4 linked regions of the Stegostoma tigrinum genome follow. Each later gene encodes a partner of the first gene's protein in a complex. Links are inferred from orthologs where the notes say so. Each region holds a gene or a part of one and is shown on either strand. Other genes may lie near its edges.

What was found.
Region 2: rnf113a (region 1) and snip1 share a complex: the UniProt entries of both Homo sapiens proteins name them as parts of the minor spliceosome. The link is inferred for Stegostoma tigrinum from reciprocal best matches to the Homo sapiens genes RNF113A and SNIP1.
Region 3: rnf113a (region 1) and sf3b5 share a complex: the UniProt entries of both Homo sapiens proteins name them as parts of the minor spliceosome. The link is inferred for Stegostoma tigrinum from reciprocal best matches to the Homo sapiens genes RNF113A and SF3B5.
Region 4: rnf113a (region 1) and plrg1 share a complex: the UniProt entries of both Homo sapiens proteins name them as parts of the minor spliceosome. The link is inferred for Stegostoma tigrinum from reciprocal best matches to the Homo sapiens genes RNF113A and PLRG1.

What each region holds. Positions count from the first base shown.
Region 1 is NC_081384.1:39,857,368-39,865,142, reverse strand, and holds the start of rnf113a (E3 ubiquitin-protein ligase RNF113A), read right to left. Parts: upstream 3,009-7,775; 5' UTR 2,975-3,008; coding exon 2,863-2,974; intron 1-2,862. UniProt on the Homo sapiens protein: Required for pre-mRNA splicing as component of the spliceosome. As a component of the minor spliceosome, involved in the splicing of U12-type introns in pre-mRNAs. E3 ubiquitin-protein ligase that catalyzes the transfer of ubiquitin onto target proteins.
Region 2 is NC_081377.1:12,589,298-12,596,562, forward strand, and holds the start of snip1 (smad nuclear-interacting protein 1), read right to left. Parts: upstream 3,021-7,265; 5' UTR 2,990-3,020; coding exon 2,750-2,989; intron 1,580-2,749; coding exon 972-1,579; intron 1-971. UniProt on the Homo sapiens protein: Required for pre-mRNA splicing as component of the spliceosome. As a component of the minor spliceosome, involved in the splicing of U12-type introns in pre-mRNAs. Down-regulates NF-kappa-B signaling by competing with RELA for CREBBP/EP300 binding.
Region 3 is NC_081362.1:94,717,928-94,725,412, reverse strand, and holds sf3b5 (splicing factor 3B subunit 5), read right to left. Parts: upstream 3,013-7,485; 5' UTR 2,896-3,012; coding exon 2,635-2,895; 3' UTR 344-2,634; downstream 1-343. UniProt on the Homo sapiens protein: Component of the 17S U2 SnRNP complex of the spliceosome, a large ribonucleoprotein complex that removes introns from transcribed pre-mRNAs.
Region 4 is NC_081354.1:53,942,214-53,949,545, forward strand, and holds the start of plrg1 (pleiotropic regulator 1), read right to left. Parts: upstream 3,018-7,332; 5' UTR 2,881-3,017; coding exon 2,872-2,880; intron 496-2,871; coding exon 389-495; intron 1-388. UniProt on the Homo sapiens protein: Involved in pre-mRNA splicing as component of the spliceosome. Component of the PRP19-CDC5L complex that forms an integral part of the spliceosome and is required for activating pre-mRNA splicing.

The sequences.
Region 1 (7,775 bases):
GGGATTGGTGCTGAGCCTTCAACTATTTACAATCTACTTAAGGACTTGGATGCAGAGAACAACTGTATTGTAGTTAAATTTGCTCATAATACAAAGACAGGTAGGAAAGCGAATTGTGAGGTGGGTACAAAGAATCTGTATAAGGATATAGGTAGGTTAAATGAACAGCAAACTGTAGCAAATGGAGCATATTGTGGAAAAATGCCCACTTCGTGAGAAGGGTAGAAAAGCAGATGATTATCCAAATCGGAGGGACAATGCAGACTGTTGTAAGGAAGGATCCGGTGCCCTTCCAGATACAGGAGGAAGTGTTGCTTCAACTGTACAGAATGCAGATATGAAATCACACCAAGAGGACTGTACACAGTTTTGTTTCCTTACTTAGGGAGTCAAGTGCTTGCATTTAAAGACGTTCAGAGAAGGTTCATTAAGTTGATTCCTGGGATGAAGAAGTTCTGTTGTGAGGTAAGGCTGAGGAGGTTTGAGCACTAAGAGGTGATCTTATTGAACTGTATAAGATTCTGAAGGCACCTGGCAGAGTAAGAGGCTAAGAAAATGTTTCCCCCTGTGGCAGAATTTACAACTAGTGGGCAGAGTTTAAAAACGAAGTGTCTCCCATTTAAGATGGAGAAGTGGAGAAATATCTTCTTGAAAAGGAGGAGTAATCTTTGGAACTTTCTTCTACAGTGCGCAGTGGAGGCTGGGTCATTGAATACATTCAAGGTTGTACCAGATAAATTCTTAAACTACAAGGGACAAACAAGAAACTGGAGTGCGGCCACACCAGATCAGCCTTGTTCTTACTGAGTGGTGATGTGGACTGAAGGGGCTGAATGATCTACACCTGCTTGCATAATACATGATGGCAAGTCTCCAACTTTAACATATGAACAAGGAACAGCAGGCCTGTGGGCCCTTGAATTTGGTTCGCCATTCAAAAAGATCAAAACCACAAGTTCACATTCTCACCTACCCTGATAGATTCTTGGTAAACCAGGAAAGATTATCTAATTTTGCCTTAAAAATATTCAGAAGATTCTTCCTGAAAAGGTGTGGCAACAGAGTTCCAAACACACACAACCCTCAAAACAAATTTCACTTCACCTCTCCTTTAAATGGTCAAGACCTCATTTTTAAATAGTTGCTCTTAATTCCAGTTTCTCCCAGAAGAGAAAACATCTTTTCCACATCCCTCAGGTGCTTACAATCTTGTGCATTTCCATCAAGTTGCCTCTTAATTTCAACTCCAGGAAACAAAAGGTTATCCTGTCAAACTTTTCCACATAAGCCAACATCCCCAATTGCAGATATCAGTCTGGTAAATATTCTGTAATTTGCTTGCACACATTTATATAGGAGCAAAATACTGTAGATGCTGGAGATCAGAAATAAAAATAAACAGCACTTGATAAACTCAGCAGTCTGGGGAGGTAAATAATTAATTTTTAAGTGAGTATGATTCTTCTTCACATTACAAACACGTCACGCAGAACTGGAACAGTTAACAGTGTTTCTCTCTCCACAGATGCTGCCAGACTTGTTGAGTTTCTCCAGTGCTTTCTATTTTCACACAACACACAAAATGACCTTCGGCTGGCTGAACACTAGGGAAGACACACACTCAATTCTCAGAGAAGATTCCATTTCTCCTGTTGCTGCCTTCATCTTGTGATAAAGCAGCATCGTCTGCACTGAGCAAAAGCTCGTAACAGAGGATTCTGACCATCTTGGATGTAAATACCTAGAAACTAAATTAAAGCAGTGGCGAAACTCTCACGAGCACTAAAATATAACCTTAACAAGAGAAACTGGAATGTCTGCCACTGTAAGTCAACATTAAACTGTGATTCCAAAAGAAGGCCAATATTAACTTTGTCACTTTGTCTTTCCGACAAAACATTAAATTCTAGGTGTCTAAGCTCTCAGGGAAAGACAATAGGTTCCTCTGCACTATGAGAGGAACAGCAAAGTTATTCTCCCCGGATTCCTGACCAACATAGGCCCCTCGCTAAATTAATGTTACTGAAACAGTTGATCTGTTTATTATCAGTTTATTACAAAATGCCGTGTGTGGAGATTTTCCTGTGCATATGCATCCCCCCCGCCCAGACTCCAGCCTCAGTGCTTCCGATTTTACAACAGTGAATTCCAGTAATTTATTAGCCTTGATGCTGAAGGAAAAAAGCCTGTGGTCTTGAAAGGTGGTACTTAAATGCAAATTACTTTACCTCTGTCAAAGATCTTTTGTCAAATCAATCTTCCTCATTGAGGGGCTTGGAGATAAACCCAGGACAGCAAGCGGGTTTGTTGAATTTAGCATCACCACATTAGAATGCACTTTAATCAGTGCGATTTGTTGTTGAGGATGAAACCTGGAAAGGCTGGGACTCTTTCCCCTGGAGGGTAGGAGATTCAGGGGTGACTTTATAGAGGTTTTATAAAATCACGAGGGGACGTAAATAAGGTGAATGGCAGGTGTCTTCTCCCTAGGGTGGGGGATTTCGGGACCAGGTGGCACATTTTTAAAGGTGAGACGAGAAGGATTTTTTAAAAAAAACAATTTCTTTACAAACAGAGAGTGGTTCGCTTGTGGAATGAATCTCCTGAGGATGTGGGGACAATTACAATGTTCAAAAGACATTTCGATAAGTATATGAACAGGAAATGTTTGAAGGGATATGTGCCAGGAACAGGCAGGTGGGACTGGTTTACTTTGGGATTACGGGCAGCACGGACTGGTTGGGCTGAATGGTCTGTTTCCGAGCTGCATGAAACGGCGCCTGGTGAGAACTGCGCTCCGTTTTAAGCCCGAGCGGAGACACAGCCGGAGAATGCGGCCCCTTCCTCCCTCCAGGTCAATACCTTTGTCACTAGCGCTCGCCCTCCGCTTCCTTCCTTTAAATTTCCTGCTAGATTTTTTAAAGAGGAAAGTACAGACCGGGGCCGTCTTCCCCGCTTCCCCGGACTCCGCCATCTTAACAACAATACAACATCAGCAGCAAGCGGAGCCCGTGCAGCCCCTGGTGGCTCCATGTGGGAATACCCACAGCGGCCCCAAGTGGTTCAGAGCTGCATTGCACACAGCGGCCCCCAGTGGCCTCGACGGCACTGCACACAGCGGCCCCTGGTGGCTCGGAACGACACTGTCCTCTGTGACTTCTGTTATTCACAGAATGGAGTGAAATTAAATGATTGAGATAGGAGGAACTGCAGATGCTGGAGAATCCGAGATAATGCGGAGTGAATGTGGATGAACACAGCAGGTCAAGCAGCGTTAGAGGAGCCGGAAGTTCGGGCCTAAACCCTTCTTCAGAAATGGGGGAGGGGAAGAGGGTTCTGAAACAAATAGGGAGAGAGGGGGAGGTGGATAGAAGATGGATAGAGGAGAAGGTAGGTGGGGAGGAGACAGACAAGTCAAGGAGCCAGGGATGGAGCCAGTAAAGGTGTGTAGGTGAGGAGGAGAATTGTTTTTGTGCAGAAGACGGCCATTGTGTCTGACTGGCTCTCTGAATATTTTAATTCAGTGCCAATCTCCTGCCTTTTCGCCATAACCAAACTCATTGTTTAAACTTAAACTCAAATTTGTGCACTCTTGAATGCTCAGTTACACTTCAGGACATATATATTCAGACCTAAGTCATCTAATTTTAAAAAAAATCCATAGGATGTAGGCATCGTTGGCTGTGTCAGCATTTATTGCCTGCCCCTAGTCGCCGCTGAGAACTTGGTGGTGCTGTGCATTCTTGAACCACTGCAGTCTATGTGCTGTACGTAGACCTACAACACCATTAATGAGGGGTATCTTTCTTAAATATTACCAGAATTTCAGGCTTGAATATCTTTCCAGTCAATGAGTCTCAGCTACCACTACCCCATGAAAGAAAAAAATACAATCTGGTAAAGATTAATGTTAAGTCAGAGGATCGGGAAAGTTTTAAACATCATCAAAAGAAAACCAAAAAATAGCAAGAAGGAAGAAGATAAACTGAGGGTAAACATGCAAGTAACAAAAGATGAAGAACAAGCACTTCTTTAAATATTTAAATTGAAAAAGAGAAACCAGTGAGGGAGGCAATAGCCTAATGATATCAATTTGGATCCAGAAACTCAGGTAATGTAGGGATGTGGGTTCAAAGTCTGCCATAGCGGATGTTGGAATTTACATTCAATGGAACTGCTCTTGTGAAATTATTCACAGTTAGATTGTTAAGTAGAGGTAGATGTTTAATTAGTAAGGCAGGAAAATGGAGATGAGGATTGTCAGATCAGCCATGTCCTCATCAAATGGCAGAGCCAACTTGATGGGCTGAATGGCCTCCTTCTGCTATTATGTGTTATGACCTCAACCCTCCACTTAGCTAGAGTTAGTAGGAACTGCAGATGCTGGAGAATCTGAGATAACAAGGTGTAGAGCTGGATGAACGCAGCAGGCATCAGAGGAGCAGGAAGGCTGACGTTTCGGGCCTAGACCCTTTTTCAGAAATGGGGAAGGGCAAGGGGATTCTGAAATAAATAGGGAGAGAGAGGGAGGTGGAAAGAAGATGGATAAAGGAGGAGATAGGTAGAGAGGAGACAGACAGGTCAAAGAGGTGGAGGAGGAGCCAGTAAAGGTGAGTGTAGGTGGGGAATTAGGAAGAGGATAAGTCAGTCCAGGGAGGATGGACAGGTCAAGGGGGCGGGATGAGGCTAGTAGGTAGGAGGTGGGGGTGGGGCTTGAGGTGGGAGGAATGGATAGGAGGGAGGCAGGACAGGCTAGGGAGGCGGGGATAAGCTGGGCTGGTGTTGGGATGCGGTAGGGGGAGGGGAGATTTTGAAGCTTGTGAAGTCCACATTGATACCATTGGGCTGTGGAGTTCCCAAGTGAAATATGAGGTGCTGTTCCTGCAACCTTCGGGTGGCATCATTATGGCACTGCAGGAGGCCCATGATGGACATGTCGTCTAAGGAATGGGAAGGGTTGTTGAAATGGTTCGCGACTGGGAGGTGCAGTTGTTTATTGTGATCTGAGCATAGGTGTTCCTCAAAGCGGTCCCCAAGCCTCCGCTTGGTTTCCCCGATGTAGAGGAGGCCACATCTGGAACAGCGGATGCAGTATACCACATTGGCAAATGTGCAGGTGAACATCTGCTTAATGTGCAAGGTTTCCTTGGGGCCTAGGATGGGGGTGAGGGGGGAGGGTAGGGGCAGGTGTAGCACTTCCTGTGGTTGCAGGGAAAAGTGCCGGGTGTAGTGGGGCTGGAGGGGAGTGTAGACCAGACAAGGGAGTCATGGAGTGAGTGGTTCCTCCAGAAAGTAGATAAGAGTGGGGAGGGAAAAATGTCTTTGGTGGTGGGGTCGGATTGCAGATGGCAGAAGTGTTGGAAGATGATGTTGTCCTTGTTGATGGAGCTACTGGTCTGTGTTGCTATTTCCTCTAGTAATATGGGCGCTGTTTCTTCGGCTAGTGGGATGTCAATTGATGTGAATAAAGCTGTGACGCCAAAGGATACCATAATCTAGTCGCTGATTTTTATGTTTTTGAGGGTATCAAGGACATCTTGTGTTGTGTGAATAGAATGAGGTGATCTATCTACTAAGTGTTTCAATCTCTGTTGTAGGTTTTTGGCCAGTTTATGTGAAGGTGTCTTGGTCAGGAAACAGTGGGTCTGAGAGGGATGTCTGGTTTATGTACGTTAGGGAGTCCATAGAAGAGGGAGGGGGTGTTTGTGCCTGCTGGTTTCATTCTCATGAAGTCTGTCTTGGTTATCTGCCCTGCATTCATTAGTAGCTTCAGTGCCTGGCTGATCCGATTACTGAGCTGTGGTGTTGGGTCTATCGCCACCTGTTGGTAAGTGGTTGTATCTGCAAGCAGTGTCTTAGCATTCTTAACGTAGTCTGGTTGTTTATGATAACAAAGTGTAGAGCTGGATGAACACAGCAAGCCAAGCAGAATCTTCCTGAGATGCTGCTGGGCCTGCTGTGTTCATCCAGCTCCACACTTTGTTATCTTGGATTCTTCAGCATCTGCAGTTCCCATTATCTCTGGTTGTTCATGATAATGGTCATGCATCCTTTCTCTGCTAGGATTATGATGTTCTTGACTTTCCTGAGTTTATATAGTGCTTTTCTCTCTGTTGTGTTCAGGTTGTCCCCTTTGTTCCTTCTGTGTAGTGTGGCGATTTATAGTTTGTCGGATGGCTTTTTTAGATTAGATTCCCTACAGTGTGGAAACAGGCTCTTTGGCCCAACAAGTCCACACTGCCCCTTGGAGCATCCCACCCAGACCCATCCCCCCATAACCTACACACCCCTGAACACTACGGGCAATTTATCATGGCCGATCCACCTAACCTGCACATCTTTGGACTGTGGGAGGAAATCGGAGCACCCGGAGGAAACCCACGCAGACACGGGGAGAATGTGCAAACTCCACACAGACAGTCGCCCAAGGCAGGAATCGAACCCAGGTCCCTGATGCTGTGAGGCTGCAGTGCTAACCACTGAGCCACCGTGCCGCCCAAAATCAGCCCTCTTCAATTCTCGGACTTGCAATGACAAAAATGAGACTGCCTGAGGCTGAACCCTAACCGGGGCAGGAAATAGGCTGCACCCAGACTTGAACTTGGATCGCAGGGCTCAGAAACCAGAGTACTGACCACTACACCAGAGCACCCAGGGCTTGTTGTGTTTCCTCCCTGAGGCTGTTGTCTTTTAATGTATTCTCCAGGGCAGCCATGAAGCCTGTTCTGTTCGCATCTTTTGTGGTTATAGTTCAGTCCGCGTAGTAGGACAGCTTTCTCCGTTTCTGTGAGTTGTCTGTTAGATAGGTTTCTTCTCCATGCATTTGGTTTGTTGTTGTCCTTTTTGTGAGGAGTCAGTTTGGTCAGTTTCTCCTGCAGCTTGTGTCCATTCTTAGTTTTGGTTTTGTGTTGATTGATGGTGATGGCCTGTTCTAGGTGTAGTCCATTGTTGGTCCATTGAGTTTAGATACTGTGATTTTTGGTGCACAATTTCTCATTCGTACCTTTGGAGTTGGTTATGGGCATCATTAATCATTACACATAGCATTCTGCATCCATTCTATTCAGCTATTTTATATCCTGTGGTTTGTTGAGTGGAGGTTTGTATTTCACGCTGTGGGGCAGTACCTGGTTCCTGAGATGTTTGTGGAGGAAGTGAAGTTGTTCACATGCAGACCTCAGTTGATTGGTAAAGATTTCCCGTTGTCTGGCAATTTTTAGCATGTTACGCCCATAATTGTTTAAAGTTTTGGTGAAGATCTGTAGCTCAGACATTTCATCACCGTGCTAGGTGACATCATTGGTGGAGTCTCCGATGAAGTGATGTTGTTCTACTCCACTTAGAATTTATACTGTCTGGTCTGTTATGGTGAGTTGTCATTTCTGGTTTTGATCTGTATGGGTTTGTATATGGAGTCCAATTCTATTTGTTTATTAATTGAAGTATGGGTGGAGAACCACGCCTCTAGAATTCCCGTGCGTGCCTATGTTTGGCTTGGGCTACTAATGGCTACCTTGTCCCAGTTAGACTGATGGCCTTCACTGTCTGAGTGTACCGAAATTAAGGAGAGTTCTTCATGTCATTTTGCTGTTAGCTCTGGCCATGGGGGAAGTGCCAGAGGAATGGAGAATGGCTAATATGGTTCCACTTTTCAAGAAAGGTTTTAGAGATGAACCAGGAAATTACAGGTCGGTGAGTCTCACATCGGTGGTAGTGAAACTATTGGAGAAAACTTTGAAGGAGTGAATTAATAACCATTTGGAAAGGCATGGGTT
Region 2 (7,265 bases), on another chromosome or scaffold:
GCTCATTAACTTTGTTCAATCCAGAAAAATAAAATCAGATGATCAATGCACGCACTAATTTTAATATTACACCTAAGTACTTCCCTCGAAGTACCAAAGGGTGTTGGCAATACTTTCAAAACGGGATTCAGAGAGAGAAAAGGGTAACAGACAGCCGAAACACTTTTGGACCGGACTGTGGAATAGGACAAAAGCTATGGCCTATCAAACACAAAAGTATCAGTCTATAAAATCCACTCACTTATAAAGTATTTCAACATATTTAATGCCCTAAGACAAACATTTCCATAAATATTGCCTGCTTCCCATTTACTGCTCCACCCCTAAAACTGTACTTGTTAAATCTACAAGAACTGCAGTCGCGTTTATTAAAATACAACAGTGACTATGTTTCAAAATTGCTCGACTGGTTATAAAATTATATGCAATGACCCAAGACCAGGAAAGGTGACTTGGGAACATAAGGTCTTTCTTTAGCTCCAGGATATAAATTAGATTTTGGCAGCTGCTTGCCCGAGACACTTTCCCTGTCCCAGGAAACATCAAACCCTTTACAGGTACTGCTCAGTGAGGAATCTATCACTGTGACCACAAGCTCATTTCTTAATGGGATGTTTGTTTAGTTTTTTTTTCTTAAAGTAGTTATTTAATATTAACAAACTGCCTTTCCGGGGAAGACTGCTGAACATCGAGGAAATAAAAATCATTTTGCAGTCTACTTCCTATAATAGAAATTGGGAGAGAGAAACCTGGACAGCAAATAAAAGAAAACCAATCCTACAGGAGAAGGGTGGCAACCAGGAAATCCAATGGGATCAGCATCAGACTAACCGATGTCAGAACAATGCAAAGTTGTCATTTAAGGGAGCACAGGGAACCATTCAACCAACATGTCCATACTGGACCCTGCACAGCAATCCAGTTAGGTCCACTCCCCACAGGCTTACATTAATAGCTTTTTAAACACCAACCTGTATTGTAGCACTGCATGTTGCTTGGAGCAGGAAGGATGGTCAATTGGGATATCCACGACCCTCCGCTGTCGGCCCAAGAGATAGGCACTCTGACGATGAATGTGCATAACTGGAAGAGGCTCATCATTCTTGAACGGATAAAGCCGCCATCGTTTCCTTGGGATCCGGGACTCGGGCGGTTCACAGTATTTTATCACCACTCCACGAAAGGTGTTTGTGTCTTCCACGAGGGCACCAGAAAGCTCAAAATTTGGCTCCTCTTTCACCGGGGCTGTGTTGCCACTATGAGCTTGGCTGTTATTTGACTCAGAGGCAGGATGCTCATCACTGAGCAGGGGACACTGATTGCGGTTTTGACGCCTTCTCTCATTGTAGTACTCTCGCTCGGCCTGCTGAGTGCTGAGGAGCTGAGCCTCCCTGTCTCGGCCACTTGTACCACCTTCTGTGTGAGAGCTACCATTCCTTTTGTTGTGGCCTCGGCCCCGGTCTGAACATTCTCTGTGACGCTCTCGGTCACTGTTCTTCTTGCGCCGATGCCCATTTCTACTAGAGTGGTCTCTGTGTCGTCTCTCAGCATGATCCCGTTGAGAATGGTCATGCCGTTCCTGAACGGAATGAGAAAAATTAAATTTTGCATGCCATGGCATGGCCTGAAATTATGAGACAATTGGTATAAAAACTTCACATGGTAACTAGCGGAGATTATTATTTCATCATAGAATTATAAAATCCACACAGTGCAGATAGAGACAATTCAGCCCGAGTCTGCACCAACATTCCGAAGAGTCAGAGATGCACCAGATCCACCCCCCCATCCTATCACCATAATCTCACGATGACCATGACCAAGCCATCTAGCCTAACCATCCTTCAACAGGTGGGGCAAATTAGCATGGCTAATCCTTCTAACCTGCACACTTGGACTGTAGGAGGAAACCAGAGGGCCAGGCAGAAACCCACACAGGCATGGGGAGAATGTGCAAGCTCTACACAAGGTTGGAATCAAACTTGGATCACTGGCACAGGGAGGCAGCAAGGCTAACTACTGTGCTGTGTTGCCAAATTAACTTATCCGTGAAATACATGAACTGGAAAGCTAACTATAAACTATTGTATTTAACTATCACATTAAACCTTGTGGCTTCACAACAGAACACAATTCACATCCAGGGTGATCATTTTAACTTTTAACCACTAAAACAGGAATCTAGAATCAAATTTAATCACAACTAAGGAGGCCATTCAGCCAGATAGCACCTTCAGAGGGCTATCCAATCAGTCCCATTCACCAGTCACAGTGCTGCAACTCATGTCTCTTTTGAATCATTCAGTTTCCTTCCAAAAAGTGAAAATCAAATCTGCTTCTGCTACCCTGTCAGGCAGCGCTTTTCGGCGTATAAGATCTCACTCTGGATGAAAGGAAATTTGTATTGGTGTCTTCGCCAAACACCTTTAAACTTGTGTTCTCTCATTCAGGTCCCTTCTGCTGCTATTAACAATTCCTCATGCACTTTAATGGAACTTTTTAATAATACTTCACCTGCCTCTTCATTGCACCAAATTCCCCTCCTTCCTGCGCTCACCGAGGAACTGAATTTTCACTCACACACTCTCTTTAGCAATGACACTAGAGTGAGATTGACGTGAAAGTTAAATCCTCTTCCTCAGTTATGATGTGGCTGAATTGGGGCTGCAGTTCCTGTCATGCGAGGGAACGGTTGCTGCAGTAATGATTTGTGTTTTATTATTATTACCGGCTTGACTCGGTAACTCACCCGCTTCAACTTGCCCCCGGGCCGTGAATGTTGTTGTTGTTCGGGTGCCGGCTTCCTCCGGGCCGGGGAGCGGCTCTGCCAGTGCTCAGGTGGAGAGACGCTGCCCCCGGAGGAGCCCGAACTCGAGGGCCGGTGCTTGGGGCCAACTGCCCCCTCTCGCTTGATCCTCAATCGGTGGCGGTCGGTCGCGGGCCCAGGCTCGGGGCTGTGCCAGGCCCGGCGGCGGCCCTGAGCCTCCATCTTCCCGGCTGTGGCACCGACCCGGAACAACACTGCCGGCCAGCGAATAGAACACTTCCGGGGTCACGTAGCAGAGGTGAGAGATCAGCCAGCCAAGGCTCTTGGCTCCAACCTTGGACAGGCAACTGCAGAATGATTCCCTCCTAATATTAGATTCATGAATCGCTGCATCACCTCTCTCAATACACACTGCTCCAGAGATGCTTGCTGATGTTTTCTTGTTATTATTATTTTTATTTGTTCTTGCCTGTCTCCAGTGCTCCTGCTGATTTCTCAAACCCATTGGGCGCTAATGGTCTCAGGGTTGCAACTAGACTAGAACTTGGCCTGCTGTGTTCATCCAGCTTCACATTTCGTTATCTTAGAACTAGGGGGATACAGTTTAAAAATTAGCGGACTCGTATTTCAAGTTAGAGATGAAGAGAGTTTATTTCTCTTGTCAGAGGGTCGGATGTCTTTGGCAATCTCTTGGCAGGGAATGGTGGACGTGGGATTACCGAATATTTTTGAGGCAGAGTTAGATTCTTAGCTGACAAGTCAAAGTTTATTTAGGGGTGGTTAGGCACAGCAGTGGAGGTGAGGCCGCAATCAGGTGAGGCATGATATTATTTGAATGGCAGAGCAGGCTTGAGGGGACAAATGGCCTACTTTAGCCTATAATTTCTATGCACCTAACAGGGTGACCAACTCGGGTTAGGAAGAAGGGAAATTTTGGTACAGGTGACTGTCCAACTGGGCTGGGGGATGTTGATGAGCCAGTGGGAGGTGCATTATCCACATCTGCAACAATTAGGCAGCACAGTAGCTCAGTGGTTAGCAAAGCTGCCTCACTGCACCAGGGATCAGGGTTTGATTTCACCCTTGGGTAACTATCTGTTTGAAGTTTGGACATTCTGTGACTGCATGGGTTTCCCCCAGATGTTCCGGTTTACTCGCACAGTCCAAAGATGTGCAGGTTAGGTGGATTGACCATGGGAAATGCAGAGTTACTGGGATGGGATATGTCTGAGTGGGATGCTATTCAGAGGGTCAGTGTGGACTTGATGGGCTGAATGGCCTGCTCCTGCACTACCTGGATTCTATGATGAAAAATGCGGAATAAGGACTGTTCTGAAAACAGCCAATCCGGGACAAGGGACAATCTGGTCCAAAATTGAATAGTCCAAAAAAATCCAGGAAATTTGGTCACTGTTGTAAACTGAACACTCAGGTTCAGGACAGCAAACAGAAATATACGAAAGACTGAAAGGGCGAAAGTTTCTGCCTAAAAGTTTCTCATTCCCCCAGTTAGACTGGTTAGCAAGGTTAGATCATGTGGAATACAGGAGAACTTGCGATTTGGATACAGAACTGGCTCGAAGGTAGGAGATCGAGAGTGGTGGTAGAAGGTTACTTTTCAGACCGGAGGCCTGTGACAAACAGTGTGCCATAAGGATTAGTACTGGGTCCACTGTCCTTTGTCATTTATATAAATGATTTAGATGTGAACGTAGGAGGTATGTTCAATAAGTTTGCAGGTGACACCAAAATTGGACAACCAAGGTTACCTCAGAGTACAATAGGACCCTGATCAGATGGGCCAAGGAGTGCCAGATGGAGTTTAATTTTGATAAATATGAGGTGCTGCATTTTGGAAAGGCAAATCAGGACAGGACTTATACACTTAATGGTAAGGTCCTGGGGATTGTTGCTGAACAAAGATACCTTGGAGTGTAAGTTCACTGCTCCTTGAAAGTAGATTCACATGTTGACAGGATAGTAAAGATGACATTGGTATGCTTGCCTTTATTGTTCAGCGCATTCAGTACAGGAGTTGGGAGGTCATGTTGCAGCTGTACAGCACATTGGTTAGGCCACTTTTGGAATGCTGTGTGCAGTTCTGGTCTCCCTGCCATAGGAAGAATGTTGTGAAACTTGAAAGGGTTCAGAAAAGAATTACAAGGATGTTGCCAGAGTTGCAAGGTTTGAGCTAGAGGGGGAGTAGACTGGGGCTATTTTCATTCGGGCGTTGGAGGCTGAGGGGTGACCTTATAGAAATTTATAAAAATCATAAGGGGCATAGATAGAGACCTATTGGGCAACTTTTTCATGCAGAGGGTGGAGCATGTATGGAATGAGCTGCCACAGGAACTTGTGGAAGCTGGTACAATTATGACTTTTAAAAGGCATCTGGATGGATATATGAATAGGAAGGAGTCAGATGGATATGGCAAATACAGGCAAATGGGACTAGATTAATTTAGGATATCTGGTCAGCATAGATGAGTTGGATCCAGCTCTATGTACACCTGTACAATTCTTTGACTCTACTATAAACTAAGATGCTGAAAATCTCTCAGGGCTATATGTATGGCACAAAATATATATTGTAATTATAAATGTTGATCGAATGTAGTGAAGCACCCCTGGATAAAATAGCCTTTTCAGTTGATTCGCAGATTCTCAAGCAGTCTGCAATTTCAGTGGCTTGGATAGACTGGGATATCTTTCCCTGAACCAAAGGGGGCTGAGAGGTCTTTTATAAAGATTTTTAAAATCATGAGGGGCACAGATAAGGTGAATAGCCAAGGTCTTTTCCCTTAGGGTAGGGAAGTCCAAAATTAGAGAGCAAAGGTTTAAGATGAGAGCGGTAGAGATTTAAAAGGGACCTGAGGAACAACTTTTTCATACAGTGGGAGTTGTGTATATGGAATGTAAGACATTTGGACAGATACATGGATAGAAACGTTTTAGGGTCATATGGGCCAAATGCAAGCAAATGGGACTAGCTCAATATAGGAAACTTGGTCAGCATGGAGGATTGGGCTGAAGGGCCTGTTTTTGTGCTCTGTGCCTCTATAAATTACCTTCTGGTAACAACATACTGTGTTCACACAGAACCTTTAATGTAGAAAAATGTTCACAGAAGCATAGCAGGAGAAAAGAACATTGATGCTAGACCAAAGAAATATGATGCAGCAAAGGAATAACTGATGCTTTATCCAAGAGACTGTGTTTTATACATGTCACACCACACTGGGACACATGCTACAAATCATGGCTTGCTATTTCTAGAGTCATCACAAAAGTTGACAATTTTATCAAAGTACACAAAGTCCCAAATTTACCTGTCTGACAGACTCAGGTTAACATAAAATATGGATCCGTTTCTGAACCTACCAGGAATTACTATTTACTCCAAATAAATAAGTTCTCTGTCTGTCTCTTTGTAGGATATGCTGAACATTCCTTGCTCCTGTCCCACTCAATCTCCCTTCCACAGTTCTTTCTCTAGTACATTGATAATGTCATCAGGACTGCTTCCTGCACTCATTAAGAATTGGAAACTTAACCCGTTTTGCTTCCAACTTTTGTCCTCCTCTCACCTTCACCTGGTCTAACTCTGACTCTCCATTTCCCTTCTTTGACTTCACGGGGTTTCTATTTCTGGAGACAAGCTGTCCACCAATATCCACGATAAACCCACCTCATCCCATAGTTACTTTGACTACAGTTTCACACCCTGTTTCCTTCAAGGATTCCATTCTATTCTCTCAGTTTCTCCATCTCCGCAGCATCTGTTTCAATAAAGCCATCTTCCACTGATGTGTCTCCAAACTTTTCTCATTTTTTTCTCAGTCGAGAATTGCCCCACAACATGGTTGACAGGGCCTTCAGATGTGTGTTACCCATTTGCTGTCCTTTTGCCCTCACCACTTTGCTTCTCTCACAGACAAAAAGATTCCCCATGTTGTCACTTTGCACACCACCAGTCTCCACACTGAGGAAATTCTCTGCCATTTCCACCACATCTAGAAGGATGCCACCAACAAATTCTTCTTCCCCTCCCCACACTTCAGTGTTCCGCATGGACTGTTCCCTCTGTGAACTCTGGTTCACTACTCAGAGACTCCTTACACACCATCCTCCCCGCAGGGCACCTTTCCATGAGGTGCTTCTTGCCTTGATACCTCTCCTCTCCTTACAGTCTTACACTCCCTAAGATCCCAAACACATTTTCTAGGTGACATATCATTTCACTCATATTTCTTTCATACTAGTCTACTGTCGTCACTTCTCACCATGTGGCCTCCTCTAAATTAGCGAGACAAAATGCAGAATGGGGAACCACTTTACAGATCAGCTCCACTCTGTCTATAAGAATGACCCAGACATTTCAGTTGTTTGCCATTTCAATGAACTATCTTGTTCCCATTTCCATCCTAGGCCTGCTGTAGCATTCCAGCAAAGTTCAACACAAGGTGAAGAAACAACACCTCATTTTCCACTTAGGCAC
Region 3 (7,485 bases), on another chromosome or scaffold:
TTAAAATTCTCTGCCTCAGAAGGTGAAGTAGGTTAGGGCTATTGAATGTTTTTAAGGCATTTTAGATTTATGTTCGGCAAGAAGGCTAAGGTAATTGGGATATTGAGAATGTAAATGAATGTGTGCAAGAATGGAACAGCTCAACCATGATTTTTTGAACAGCAGAGCACATTTTGAAGGGCCAAATGGCTTATTTCTGCTTCTAATCCATATACATATTTAAAACATACACAATAAGGACAAAAGATTGTGTTCTGTAAATTCGGTGCTCTTTGACCGTGACCATCTATTTACCTAGTTATCTCACATTTCAGAGGAACAAAAAATCAAAACAACTAAAGTATTAAAAAAAACTGTCCATTTATTGAGCCACAGATCAGTGTAATGGTATACATTTAAAGCAAAATATTTTGTTTCTCCAGTTTAAACCAAATTGTTTACGAATTACAGTTTGTACTGCCCAGCAAAAACAGAACAGGAATAAACTGGCAACACAAAAAAGGTACAAAACCTTCCCTTCTGAATAATGAGACATTTTCTAAGTGACCTAGTCATGGTTGAGCAGGTTTCTGATTTTGCTGAACAATCGCTGCTAAAACATTACTCCATTCACTCGCAAAAATCCCCTGGAACATTATCCAATAAATCACCAAGTTTTAGGAAAATCACTTGATGGGTTTCTCTTTATTTCCAAAATTTCAATCCTTCTAAAATCAGTAACATTCTAAGTAAATTCCCCTTAAATAAAAAATATAAAGCTGCCATGCTTTTATCATGCATGGGTTTCAAGGAATCTTTCTACTTTGTTGACAACCACTTATCCAAACACTTGCCAACATAATGGCTTTTTCTATAGTTCAGTTGTTGGGGAGAGGTTATCAACGCTCTCTGTAGATTCATATAGTTTTACTCCGTACGGCACCCCATATACCATTTACGATGCAATTCATTCTTGGGAGTTTTTCCGTGCAGCAACCATCCGTGTGAACATTGGGTACTTCTGTAATCCTTCTTTAAGATCTATGTGACAGTAGTGGGCTTCGGTTTCAATATCAGCAGCAACCTCCTAGGTGAAGTCAAGCAGGGAGCTCCTCACTGATGGAGGTGTATGGAGACCATTCCATTTAACTGGGGAAGAAAGCAGATAGTCTTTGTAAGATTCCTTTCCTCGGTTGCTCAAGATTATGTTGCCAAAGTGAGTGCAAATCACAAGTAATTCACTGGATGGGTGTTCAGAACATCTTGAAACAGTGAAATTTCCCTTCTGTTGACAGTGACAAAGTTTCACTTGTGAGAGCAAGTCAGATGGACTGGCCATTTTTACAGTAGACTTTTTGTGGCCAGTGACCATTTTATCTATAAAGTAGTTCAGTTCAACAAAAAAGTCATTTGCTTTTGTAAAGCAAGATGATATTTCAGATGAATAACAAAAGTTTAAATCAAATGCATGTCCTTGTGCTGGCAGAGCCCCCAAGAGAAGTGTGGACTCCCTTGCTGCTGGAGCAAGATGGGTGGTGGATTCCTTTGCTGATTGTAGAGCGGAAGAGGGTGGCTGAAAAACGACCTGACTGGCTGGGGAAGGCAAAGGTGGATCCACTTAGAGGGGGCCAGGTACAGTTCTTCAAGTCATATTGGATTTAAAATATTAGCTGTTTCTCTCCCCTTAAATATGGCCAGATCTGCTGAGTTTCTCCAGCATTTTCAGTTTTAGTTTCAGATTTCCAGCATCCCACAGTATTTTGCTTTCATTTGTGTACAGGAATGATGCCATTTTGGAAGCGGATTGGATCAATCCCTCAGTCATTGACAACGACTTTGGATGTGCTGATGGCAAATGGGAGGGCCAAAATTCAAGTCCAAGTTTTGGAGGGAAAATGGAGCACAAATAACATTTGTACCCTAAACTCTCATCACTCCTCTTCAATAGCCATAGAACAGCTCATCCTCATAACCCAGCCTTCACAGGTATGCACTTCTGATCCAACCATCCAAGTCTCTTTTGTACTTCACCTATATCTCCCTTCAATCACCAATAGGCCACTTACTTCACCCAAATCCCTCCTGTTACCCAACTGTCCAGCCACAGCCCAACCTCTAAACATCTCACACTCCCCCAGCCTACACCTGTAACCATCCCATTTATGGTATCTTTCTTATCCTCCAACTGTATACCCCATACATGGTCTTCTTCCTCCAACAATATCCACCACATACCTCCACACATATTGCAATCACACTCCCCATATTCCCTCCTTATCCTCCACCCATGTCCCTGCACCTAATTACACTCATTACCATATCTATACCCCAAAAATCCACCAGACATCAATACTTATAGCTCCCAAATCCTCATTCCTCCCCACATACTCACTTGTATCTTCCCAATTCCCACTATATCCCCTTCACCCAACCACACTTATACCACACTCCACTCCCTTCACCCAGTCATACCTATACTCCTCCCATCCCCATTCCCACCCCATCCCATCCTTCACCTATCCACAGCCATGCCCCCCAATCCCCTTCACCTATCCACAACCCTACCCCACATCTCGTATCTCCATATCTAATCCTCACCCTTCGCCCACACCGCACCCCAGCAACCCCCCCCCCCCCCCCCCCCCCAAGGCCCTCTTAGGCCTCCTCGGGCTTGTCGGGCGGGGGCCCACACGGCTGTAGCATCTTCTCCATGAGGTTGAAGCGGACTCGGGCCTTGGTCTCGTTCTCGGCCACGGCGAAGTAGTTGAGGAGGTCGAAGTGGCCCATGTACGAGGCGTACGAGTCGCGGTGCTGGTTGACGAGCCACTCCCACTTGGTGGTGTCGGCGTGCCCGGTGCCGATGTACTTGGACTGGAGATGTTCCAACTGGCTGTGGATGTTGTAACGGTCCGTCATCGCGGCTCCGGCTCTCCGCTTGAAAAAAGATTCGAATCCCAACCGTCAACCGCCCGCCGGAGGAAACCTAACATGGCCGCCGTTACCAGGGTTACCGCCACGTGGCTTTCCGGGAAGCTGCAGGTACAATTAAATGAAAGTAACCGTTCGGGACGAAATTGTGATTTTGTCTCATGTGAAGAGAAATCTTGGTAAATTAGGGCTATTAAAAATGTTTACACGATGTTGCGCAATCGCCTGCGTTGGAGCTCCGCCCCCTACCAGGCGACCTTTACAGTTATTTTTTGGAATAAAAAAACAACGCTTACCGAAGAAATACTGACAATCGTATGCTTGGTTCTGACATAAAACAATCGGTTCTTTAACAAATCGGCGTTATTAAATTGATAGACATTGACGCGCAGGCGCATTGGATGCCGGGTTTGAGGCCCCACTGATGCTTTTAGCACCACCAGGTGCCCCCTAGATCGGAGGACCGCTGCTATGTGGTATTGCACTCTCAATTTATTGCATTGCAGCGACTAATTTTGGTCCATCGCCAGATACATGGAGTAACAATAATAAATAAAATAAAATTTCAGTTAGTGATTTTTATAGAATCCATAAAGTACAGAAAGAGGCCATTCGGCCTATCGAGTCCATAAGACTATAAGACATAGGAGTGGAAGTAAGGCCGTTCGGCCCATCAAGTCCACTCCGCCATTGAAATCATGGCTGATGGGCATTTCAACTCCACTTTCCTGCACTCTACCCATAGCCCTTGATTCCTTGTGAGATCAAGAATCTGTCGATCTCTGCCTTGAAGGCATCCAACGTCCTGTCACCACGGACCCTCTTAAGAGCACCCCGCCCAAACCCATCCCCTTACCCTATCCCTATAAACACGCATTTTCCATGTCTAATCCATCTAGCCTTCAACATCCCTGGACACTATGGACAATTTAGCAAGGCCAATTTATCTAACCTGCTCATCTTTGGACTGTGGGACGAAACCGGACCACCTGGAGGAAACCTACGTAGACATAGGGAGAATGTGCAGACTCAACACTGCGATGTCCCTGGTACTGAGAAGCAGCAATGCCAACCATTGTGCCACCCTTGATCAGTATCATGAATAGGCGTACCTACATTGGTGCAATAAAGAACTGCCACTCGTTTGCAATAAAAATCAAACCATCTTCAGCCACTTCATCAATGACCTTACCTCCATCATAAGGTTAGAACTGGGAATGATTGCACAATGTTCAGCACTGTTCACAACTCCTCACTTCTAAGCAGTCGGTGTTCAAATGAAACAAGATCTGAACAGTATTCAGGTGTGATCTGACTAGATCTAGATAAAATCTTCAAAACGCCATCAAGGATGCCAAGAGACAACACCCGAACTAAACCAGAGGTCCCAGATTAACCACAGAAACACATGTTGAATTTGGCAAGACTTACATGATTTAAGGGGCGACAAAGCAAAGTTGAGTACAATTTCTGAAAGCAATACATTTCTCCCCAGTGAGCTCATTTTAAACAACAGGTTAGTGAAATGATGTCATCTGTCCCGACGATCTCGGGATCACCTGTACTCACAGTCACCACTGCAGATGTCAGATCAGTGGCAAATTTGAGGTGATGCGTTTTGGAAGATCTAATTCAAGAGCGAACTATACAGTAAATGGAAAAGTCCTGGGGAAAATTGATGCACAGAGAGATCTGGGTGCTCAGGTCCATTGTTCCCTGAAGGTGGCAACGCAGGTCAATAGGGTGGTCAAGAAGGCATATGGCATGCTTTCCTTCATCGGACGGGGTATTGAGTACAAGAGTTGGCAGGTCATGTTACAGTTGTATAAGACTTTGGTTTGGCCATATTTAGAGTACGGTGTACAGTTCTGGTTGCCACATTACCAAAAGGATGTGGATGCTTTGGAAAGGGTGCAGAGGTGGTTCACCAGGATGTTGCCTGGTATGGAGGGTGCTAACGATGAAGAGAGGTTGAGTAGGTTAGGATTATTTTCATTAGAAAGATGGAGATTGAGGGGGGACCTAATTGAGGTCTACAAAATCATGAGGGGTATAGACAGGGTGGATAGCAAGCAGCTTTTTCCCAGAGTGGGGGATTCAATTACTAGGGGTCATGAGTTCAAAGTGAGAGGAGGAAAGTTTAAGGGAGATATGCGTGGAAAGTTCTTTACACAGAGGGTGGTGGGTGCCTGGAACGTGTTGCCAGCGGAGGTGGTAGACGCAGACACGTTAGCATCTTTTAAGATGTATCTGGACAGGTACATGGATGGGCAGGGAGCAAATGGACACAGACCCTTAGAAAATAGACGACAGGTTTAGACAGAGGATCTTGATCAGCGCTGGCTTGGAGGGCCGAAGGGCCTGTTCCTGTGCTGTCGGTTTCTTTGTTCTTTGTTCTTTGTGTCCTTGAGAGTTACCCCCTCAGAAAATGACTGGTGCATATGGGGTCCCTGATTGTGAACTGAGATCCTGCACAGACCAGCTGGTGGGATTATTTGCAGACGTCTTAACCTCTCCTTACTATGATGTGAGTTCCCACCTTCTTCAGGAAGATGACCATCATCCTGGTGCCAAAGAAGAATCAGGTCATGTGCTTTAATGACTGCTGCACTGATTCTGACATCCATCATCATGAAGTGCTTTGAGAAGTTAGTAATGGCTCACATCAACTTCAGCCTCCCAGATTGCCTTGGCTCACAACAGTTTGCCGACTGTCACAGAAGGTCCATGGCAGACACCATCTCCCTGGCCCTACATTCAGCCCTGGAGCATTTAGATAATAAAGACACCTACATCAGTCTCCTGTTAATTGACTTTAGCTATGCCTTCAATACCATAATTCCAACAAAACTCATCTCCAAGCTCCAAGATCTAGGAGTCTGCTCTCCCTTCTGTACCTGAATCCCTGACTTCCTGACCTGCAGACTGCAATCAGTGAGGATAGGTGACAACCCCTCCACAATAATCCTCTATAGTGGGTTGGACCTCACACAACAATGAGACAGAGTACAGGAAGGAAATAGGCAGTTTAGTGGCATGGTGTGGAGACCACAATCTCTCCCCCAATAACAGCAAAATGAAAGAGCTGGTCTTCGACTTCAGGAAGCAGAGTGGAGGGCAGGCAACTGTCTGTATCGATGGCGTTGATGTGGAGGTGGTCGAGAAGGTCAAGTTCTAAGAGTAAATATCACCAATGATCAATCCTCATCCATCCATGTTGATGCTGGCCAAACAAGCAGACCAACACCTCTGTTGCTTCAGAAGGCTAATGAAATTCAGCATGTCCACAATGACTCTTACCAATTTTTATAGAAGTACCATAGAATGCATCCCAACCAGAAGCGGCAGAGCTTGGTATGGCAACTGCTCTGCCTAAGCCTGAAAGAAATTATAGAGAGTTGTGAGAGTCAAAGTCGTGGTTCTCCTTGTCCATCTTTGACTGGGACAACACCAAGATGCTGGGACAGGTTCAGCAGAGTCAAGCACGAAAATTCCTGGAAGCCTGGCACTCCATGGCACTCCACATTGAACTTGACCCCATATACATTCTACTGCGGAGGAAACCCGGAAGTGAGGCAGTTCATCGCAACGGAACCCAGAGTTTAAAAGCCAGGCGGGAAAACACACACTGATGCTTCATCAGAGGCTGCACTGAGGATGTTACCCAGCACGGTAACGAAACATCTGCAGAACAACAAACCAGCTCAGCGAGCCAACCAACCTCAACACCCACAACCCGAGCTACAAATCTACTCCAAAACCTTAGATTCTGGTGTTATCATTGACCAGAAACTGAATTGGACTCACAACATAAACATAGTGTCTACAAAGGCAGGGCAGACACTTGGAACACTGCAGCCATAACTCATCTCCCTAAAGTCTATCCACCAGCTACAAGGTACAAGTCAGGAATATGCTGGAATACTCCCCACTTGGCTGGATGGGTGCAGTTCCAACAACACTGTCTGGTGAGTGACACCCACATCCCATGATTGAATGGAGAAAACGCACCCATTAGACCTCACCTGGGGTATTTGTCAAATTGGCACTGTCCTGCAGAAGCCGGTGTAGAATCATAGAATCTCTACAGTGCAGATCGAAGCCATTTGGCCCATCGAGTCTGCACAGACCCTATGAAGGGCACCAGGTGGTTATTTGGATATAAATAGTATGGGCCTATGGGAAAAAGGCAGCAGATAATGACGTGATAATGGGAACTGCAGATGCTGGAGAATCCAAGATAATAAAGCGTGGAGCTGGATGAACACATCAGGCCAAGCAGCATCCCTGTGCTCCTGAGATGCTGCTTGGCCTGCTGTGTTCATCTAGCTTCACACTTTATTATAGCAGATAATGATGTTTGTTTGAGGAACAGGTGCAGGCATGATGGGCCAAAATGGATTCTTTTGATGTCACAACAATTCTGTGACTTTACAGTGTCATCCTATCGGATATAGGCCATTTGGCCCTTTGAGTCTATTCGGCCTTTCAATGGCTTATCTGGTAATCCTCAACTCCACTTTCCTGCCTTTTTGATTCGCTTACTGAATGACAGTCTGCCTGTCCCAGCCTTGTATG
Region 4 (7,332 bases), on another chromosome or scaffold:
AAAAAAAACTGGACATGGAATACAGAGAAGTGGCATGACAATACAGCAGAGTATGGATGCCACATGTATGTAAGTTGATGGGATGCCTGCAGACGATATTGCTGATCCTGGGGAGTCGTGTGGATTTGGACAACAGAGTGAAAGCTGTGCAGGGTCATAGTAAGAATAAACAAGTTATTACAAATAAGAAGTGGTCTCAGCAGACAAGATGAAAATATGGCAATGGGAAATAACACAGGTTGAAGTATTTGGAAGTATTATATGCCAGACATAAAACACTTGAGGCTTTGACACTGGCTGTAATGAAGCTGGGCCCCTTGCATTGTATCTGATGAGATACTCATTCTGTAACCAACTATTACGAGGCAAGCTCAACTAAAGCACTCACCTTTTCTCATCTACTGCAATAGGTTTAGCATGATCGCTAACAAACATGTCGTGGGTTCTTTTCAGGGATCTGAACACCAGTGTGTGTACAGAATGTTTCTGCACCTCCTGCCAAAAAGAAAAAAAACAATTTTGAATTATGTATGAACTTCCAATTCTGTAACAACTAATCAAATAATTAAATTGAACTAAACAATGACATAGTAGGTGGAATTGCTAAACAAAATACACTGATCCTTTCTATATTTCCACATTTCAACATGCCATGTAACCTTAGAAGATATCCTGCAAGGCACTTCAAGAAATGTTTTCATAGGGCCAAGTGAAACAGTATGTCAGCACAATGACATTTACTCTTGGAAACAGAATAAAACACATGAATCGCCATATGACACGTGCAGGGCAGTTTCTAGTGACAGTAGGCCCAAATCACAAAACACTTCCACCTGCCCTTGAAAATGTTTCACAGAGGAAATTGGTATCCACAATTGGTGAGAATGGCAGTCATCCTGGAGACCAGACACCATCAAACCATTACATTCTCACTTTCTGGGATTCTGTTGTTAAAGTTAAGCATGCTGGAGTAGTGTCAAAAATAGCTTTATTCTTCTCCTGATCATCCTGTAGCTAACCTGAAAATGCTCAGTACTATCACTGGAGTGTTCTAGGGCAATTGAAATTCATTCCCCACCACTGACTTTCTTGACTTTAACAAGCACTACATACAATTAAAGCACAGAAACAAAACACATTGCAGCTCATAAGAACACCAGAAGTAGGAGAAGGCCTTATCGCCTCTTGAGCCTGCTACACCATTCAATAAGATTATGGCTGCTCTGATCTGGGCTCATCTCATTTCCCATAACTCTTGACCCCACCATTCTGTAGTTCAAGACTGTATCTCCACCCTGAATACAGTCAATGATTTTGAATCCAGAGTGCTCCTCAGTAGAATATTCGAAAGAGTCACAAACCCCTAGAGATAAAACCTCCTCATCTCTATTTTAAATAGCTGTTGCTTTATTTTGAATATTCAGCACTTTCAAGTTCTCTCATGACAGTAGACTGCAGATGAGTAACAGTGTACAATGCAGGTCAACTGAAGACCTAAAACTTTATTCCACTTCATATGTTGTCTAAAATAATTGTAACTTTGTTTGAAAAGTTTCTAAACTTTTAAGCTTTAACGTATATATCTTCTGTGAAGGAAACTAAAATTCAATGCTCATTTCATGTCACCACCTCGTGTTTTGTGGTAATGACTACACATTTCTTATCAAGCATATAATTTATAGCTATATTTATACCAAGTCTTCTGTCAACTTGTTCACTAAAAGGTTGTTATCCCTAATTATTACATGGGTATATTAAAGTTGTTCAATAATAAAACACCAATTAACAAATTGATGGAATTCACAACTTAAGTTTCAAACATACTGCAGCAAGATCAGAAAAGTTAATTGGAAATGGTACCAATGGAAAGTCTCCCTCATAATGAAAAATTTACATAGTAGGCTAGTAGCATAAATTTTCCAGAATTTTGACAGTTTATCTCAGGATTACACATTTGAATAGTCATGGAGTGAGAAAATTAGAAATTACACAGGAACAGGAAATTCATCTCATATAGATGCCCTTCCATAAAATGAGCAGTTCTGATTGTGCACCCTAATTTCTATTCTAATGTATTTTCCTACATGACTTTGACACTTTCTCACAAGTGCCCATTCCTAATTAACATTTATGGTGCCTACTTTATTGAATACTGTATTACATAATTTTATAAGCCTCCTGTAAGTCATATCTTCCACTCTCCATCATTCCGCACATCTCAAATATGCAAAGTTACCAGCTACTCCGTTTCATCTCTATAAATTCTAAACACTTCATTGACAGTCCACGCGTTCCTCTATATTAACAAAGATAGGTTGGAATGTTTAAGTTTTATCACATATACACGGGCGTACAAAACAAGACTCATTGAGACGAATTCTAATTTGCAACGAGAAACAGATAAATGGGGAGGGGGAGAAAAGAAATCGCAACAGCAAACTTTCCGTAATTATACAACTGATTAAAGCCAAAAGCTGAATAATTTAGAAAGGCATGCAAGATAAGAGGTCACTGCATCTTTATTCCTTTATTGTTTTTGAATGAACAAATGCCAGCTAGTAAGGGACGGTAAGCAAGTTATACTGTACTTAACCAGCATGCATTTTACTTTTACTATAAAATGGGAACTTTGTAGATCACGTCAACTTCCTTTCCTTCAAACAGGAAAAGCTTCCCCAACATCATCCTTTTCTATTTCCTTCGGCACCTGGAGAGGGGTCCACCCTCTTCCTTGCTTTATTGTGCGGGGTAGGCGGCCAGGCCGGAACGCTCAGACCCAGCAACTGGCGGCTCAAAGGCCGACAGCCCGAGAACAGTGACACATCCACACTCCCTCCTACTGAATCCTGAACATAACCCAAAGACGCCCACCTCCACCATAGCTGCAACTCGAACCGCTTTTTAAAAAGCGGGCTCCAGATCCCAAGCAGAAACCGCCGCCCTCCTGAGTGACCGGTCTCCCCAATCGCAACAGCAGCCTTCACTTCCCAACCGGAGACGGACGGATAACAAAGAGAAGCCCTGTCATGCGATTGTCTGTCCGCCAGCGACAGCGCCACTTACTCCGTGCGGCCGTACACCGTATCAACAGCCACGGAGAGTAGGAATTGCCGACGCTGGAGTCTGAGATGACAAGGTGCGGAGCTGGGGGAACACGGCAGGGTAAGCAGTTTCTTCAGAAGGGTCCAAACCCGAAACGTCAGCTTTCCTGGTTCTCTGATGCTGCCTGGCGTGCTATTCCTCCAGCTCCACATCTTGTTATCACCGTATCAACAGTGCTGCAGGCTTTCGGCTGTACCTATTTTCAAATGAGTTCTTAACAGGACTTGCAGCATGCCACAATATGATACTATAGCAGATACATTATTCTGAAGGTTCCAGTGGGCCAGGGATAGTGTCCCCACCTCTCGACTAGAAGGCTAGAGTTCAAATCTCTGACTCCTGAAAAATGGCCACTGTACTCGAAACATTAAGTCTGCTTTCTCTCCACAGATGCTGTTATAAGGTAAGATACAGGAGCAAAATTCGGCGTGAGTCTGCTCCGCCGTTTGATCTGCCCCGACCTGCTGAGTTTCTCCAGTAAGTTTTATTTCAATCCTACTTGCTCCAGATTTGTGTCATAAATGCTGAACAGTTAGACTTTAAAATATTAACAATTTCTCCCACCCCCAACTCTACCCCCCCCCCCCACTCCAAACAATGGTCAGATAGTTAAGAGAGCAAAGCAAACGGGACTTGCACGGAGACCATACAGTATGATCAGTGCAGCGGCCTCTGAATTGTCTGGGAAGTTGAATTTCCCAGGAATAATTGTCTCCCCTTGGAAATGTCAAAAAAAATCTTCCAGACTTGTGAGAGCTCATTTAAGCTTAATATTCACTCAGGAAATGGTAGATTAAAAACCCATGTTAAAGCCTGACTATTAAACTTAGCCCCACAACAACAACACTGCAACCCCTGGCATACCTCACACCCCCACCCCAGCACAGCATCTACCCCAACTACTGAATGCCACTAGGTCTAACACACCCATGTCACACAATGCAACCACACCCCACTCTCTGCCAGACTCGACAGCTCCATGGGAACCAGACCCAACTCTACATCCCGTCCTGAACCGGTCCAACTCTTAACAGCTCTGGCTCCACCCTGTGACCCAACCCTGATGGACCTGACCCTATATTCTCTTGACACAACCTGGGCCTGACCTCTAGCCCACCTGAAATATCTCAACTCCTGCTGGACCTGACTCAGTTTTAACTTCCGAGTAACCATTTAACAGACCCCTTTCTTACGTACACATCTCTGAAGGCACTTTTACCAGACATCTTACACCTGTCACCTGCCCCAGGACCTGTACGCTTTTCTTCAGATCCAAACCTGACCTCCTTCCTGCACCAGAGACCTGACCTGACACCTCATCACCTGTCAGCTGACATGCTCTCCCTTCCTTTCTGCCAGACCGGACAAAATCTGAGCCCCATGCCACAACAACCCCCTCATGCTCTGAAACTGGACCCACACAAACACACCACCTACCTCCTGACTCACTTCCTTCCCATCTGCTACTGCAGCAGACCTGACCCCCCAACAGTTGGACCTGACCCATTAACCTCCTGTGCTAGAGCTGACCAAAACATGTTTGCTTGCTTGAATTGATGGTAACTGCCAACATAGAGAGTGTGAGCCTAAAAGTCTGCTTCCATATTATACTTTATATGTATTTCTATCCCATTTCTAGCGTCAACCCTATTTTGTTATTCTCTATTTCGTGGAGAATCCTAATGTTAGTGCTTCCTGAATGTTCCTCTCTGTTAATGATAGACTCCAAAGACAATCCTACTTTCCAATATCCAGTCTATATCAATTCAAGGACTTATTTCAGTTTCCAATTGCACTTATTGTGCCTGAGCTACTGAAACATCACTCTCATTATCCAAGGCCAAGGGCTTGGTTTTGCTCTGTTGGCTGGTCTGTGACCTGGCGATGCGTTTCAATTACCACAATAGCTGAGGCTACTATGAAATATTCTTCTTCCCAACCTCTCCCCACACCTGAGATGTGGTGACCCTCCACTAGTTGTTTCTGCCCAGGAGCACAGCAACTTTTACCTTTAATGCAAGGTTAATGCAACAAATATTCAAATGTTTCATCTTAGTGATGATATATGATCATAAAGTACACAAACTCATGGGTGTAAGACTTCAGAGACTGGCAAGAAATTAGGCTCTGCTGGTTGTGGAGAAAGGGCAGGGAATGGTTCTCAAAGAAAATTAGCCTTTCAAGGCTCAATCAGCATGGAGGAGGAATGGCAGATCGACTTTAAGTCAAGATTAAATCAAGAGTACTTTTCTAATTTATTACCTAGCAGAATTTCAAGAGCTCTCACATTATTTACATCGTGGTTTAACATTTATCATTTTTAATTTTGTTGCTTCAGCTACTTAGAGTGCAAAATGTAATCATAAAGGAGGCTAATGAGCTCATTACATGTTTGTCAGCTCTTTTGAAAGAATTATCGAAGTAATGCCACAATCACATTCTTTCCCAAAATCATAGCAATTTTATTCAAGTATTTATTCAATCATTGGCGCATCAAGTATATCATCCCTTTTCAGTGCTAAACAGTGTCTTTGATCAAAACTGCCACCTCTTCCTTTCTTTTGAAATACCAATAAAAAGAACATAATCAGTCTAATATTTCCTGTAAAATATCTTTATTGATCAGTAAAAGGCATGCATTCTTTCTTCAAGCAACGAACAAATTGAGAAGATCATTCATAACAGCTGGGAATCAGACTGAAGATGGTTTCCGTTCCCTATTGATTTGCTGCAAAAGAAAACAAATGCTCTGAGTTTTCAGACAGATTGTACTGCATCTACCAAGAGCAGTAAAAGTTGCTGCCTCAACAATGTAGGAAACAACTTCACCCTTAACCAATGTCAAGGAAATAGTTATCTGGTTATTTGTCTCACTGTTTGGGACATCTTGAGGTCACCAGAGATGCTTTATAGATGCATTTTATCTTAGCTCTTCTACAAGAGTGAAACTAATACAGTCAGCATTATACTATAGATCAAAGAGGTTTCCTCCCCTTATGTTTTCAGTTACCTTCTCTTCAAGTGCTGCTTACAATCAAAACTATAGCAGTCCATTTATTCCTGTGTTCCAATCAATTTTAATTTATTGCCTCACCAAATGTTGAGAAAGCTAAGTATTTAGAATAGTGTGTCACTGGAACGTTTTTGTAAACAAAATTCTCTTATGCTGTTAGTTATATAGTGTTTCAATTGCCTTTACCATATATCCCCATCCATATTTCTTTAACTAGGAGTGCATTTACAGCGAGTCAAAGTTTAATCTCAAGTCCTCCTGTAATGTGCAATCCTGATGGTTCTTCAGGAACTACATAATGAAAATAAAAGGAGGAGGCTGTTACTTCAGACTCCCTGGGTATCTTTTGGTTTCAGCATCTAATTCTCATCCATATGCTGTCCTTCAGTAGCATCACTCAAAGACAAACCATCAGGTTCTAAGTAAACATGAATGACCCCTAATTCTGCATCTCTACCAATTCTGTCAAACCCTCCACCTCCTCTATGTTGTCATAATGTCTGTATAACATGCAGTTTCAAATGAGTTTTGATTCATTGTAGAAAACACCACTAAGACTGAAGTCATTGTTTTCAGCCTTTAACATAACCTCTATTCCACCATTTTCAATTTCAATTCACTCCAGACCACTCTTTCAGGCTGAAAGAGATTGTATCAAACCTCTATGATCTACTGGATGCACGTGAACCTCCACCTTTATCCTTTCTAACACAAAACCAGCTATTCTCACCACTTTAACTTCACCACGTGTCCCTGCCTTCAAACCCCTACAGCTAAAACACTCACCATACCTTTATTACATCCTACTCCAGTGCTCTTCTGGCCAGCCACCCACTGACCACTCTCTCCAAACGTGAGCTCATCCCAAACTATTCTGCAGTCATACTAATGCATAGCAAATGGGCTCAACAGCAGGGCTAGAAAGAGAAATCCTGGTCCTGCTTCTGTTTCTAGGCCCCACACCAACATGAACTTTTCCTTTCATATCCTTTTTTAAGGGCTACATTTTGACTTTCAGAGATTACATTTTGTTTACAGAGAATATTTTTCATTCTCGCTAACTCATTTATTAAGTGATGCAGTCATGTAGTAACGATTCCTTCTATGTATATATATGTTGAAATTTGCATATTTAGATACACATTGAAGCATTCTTAGAAGAATTCATAAATCTACCCAATCAACCATCTATTAAACTCAAAGCTGTAATACACAAA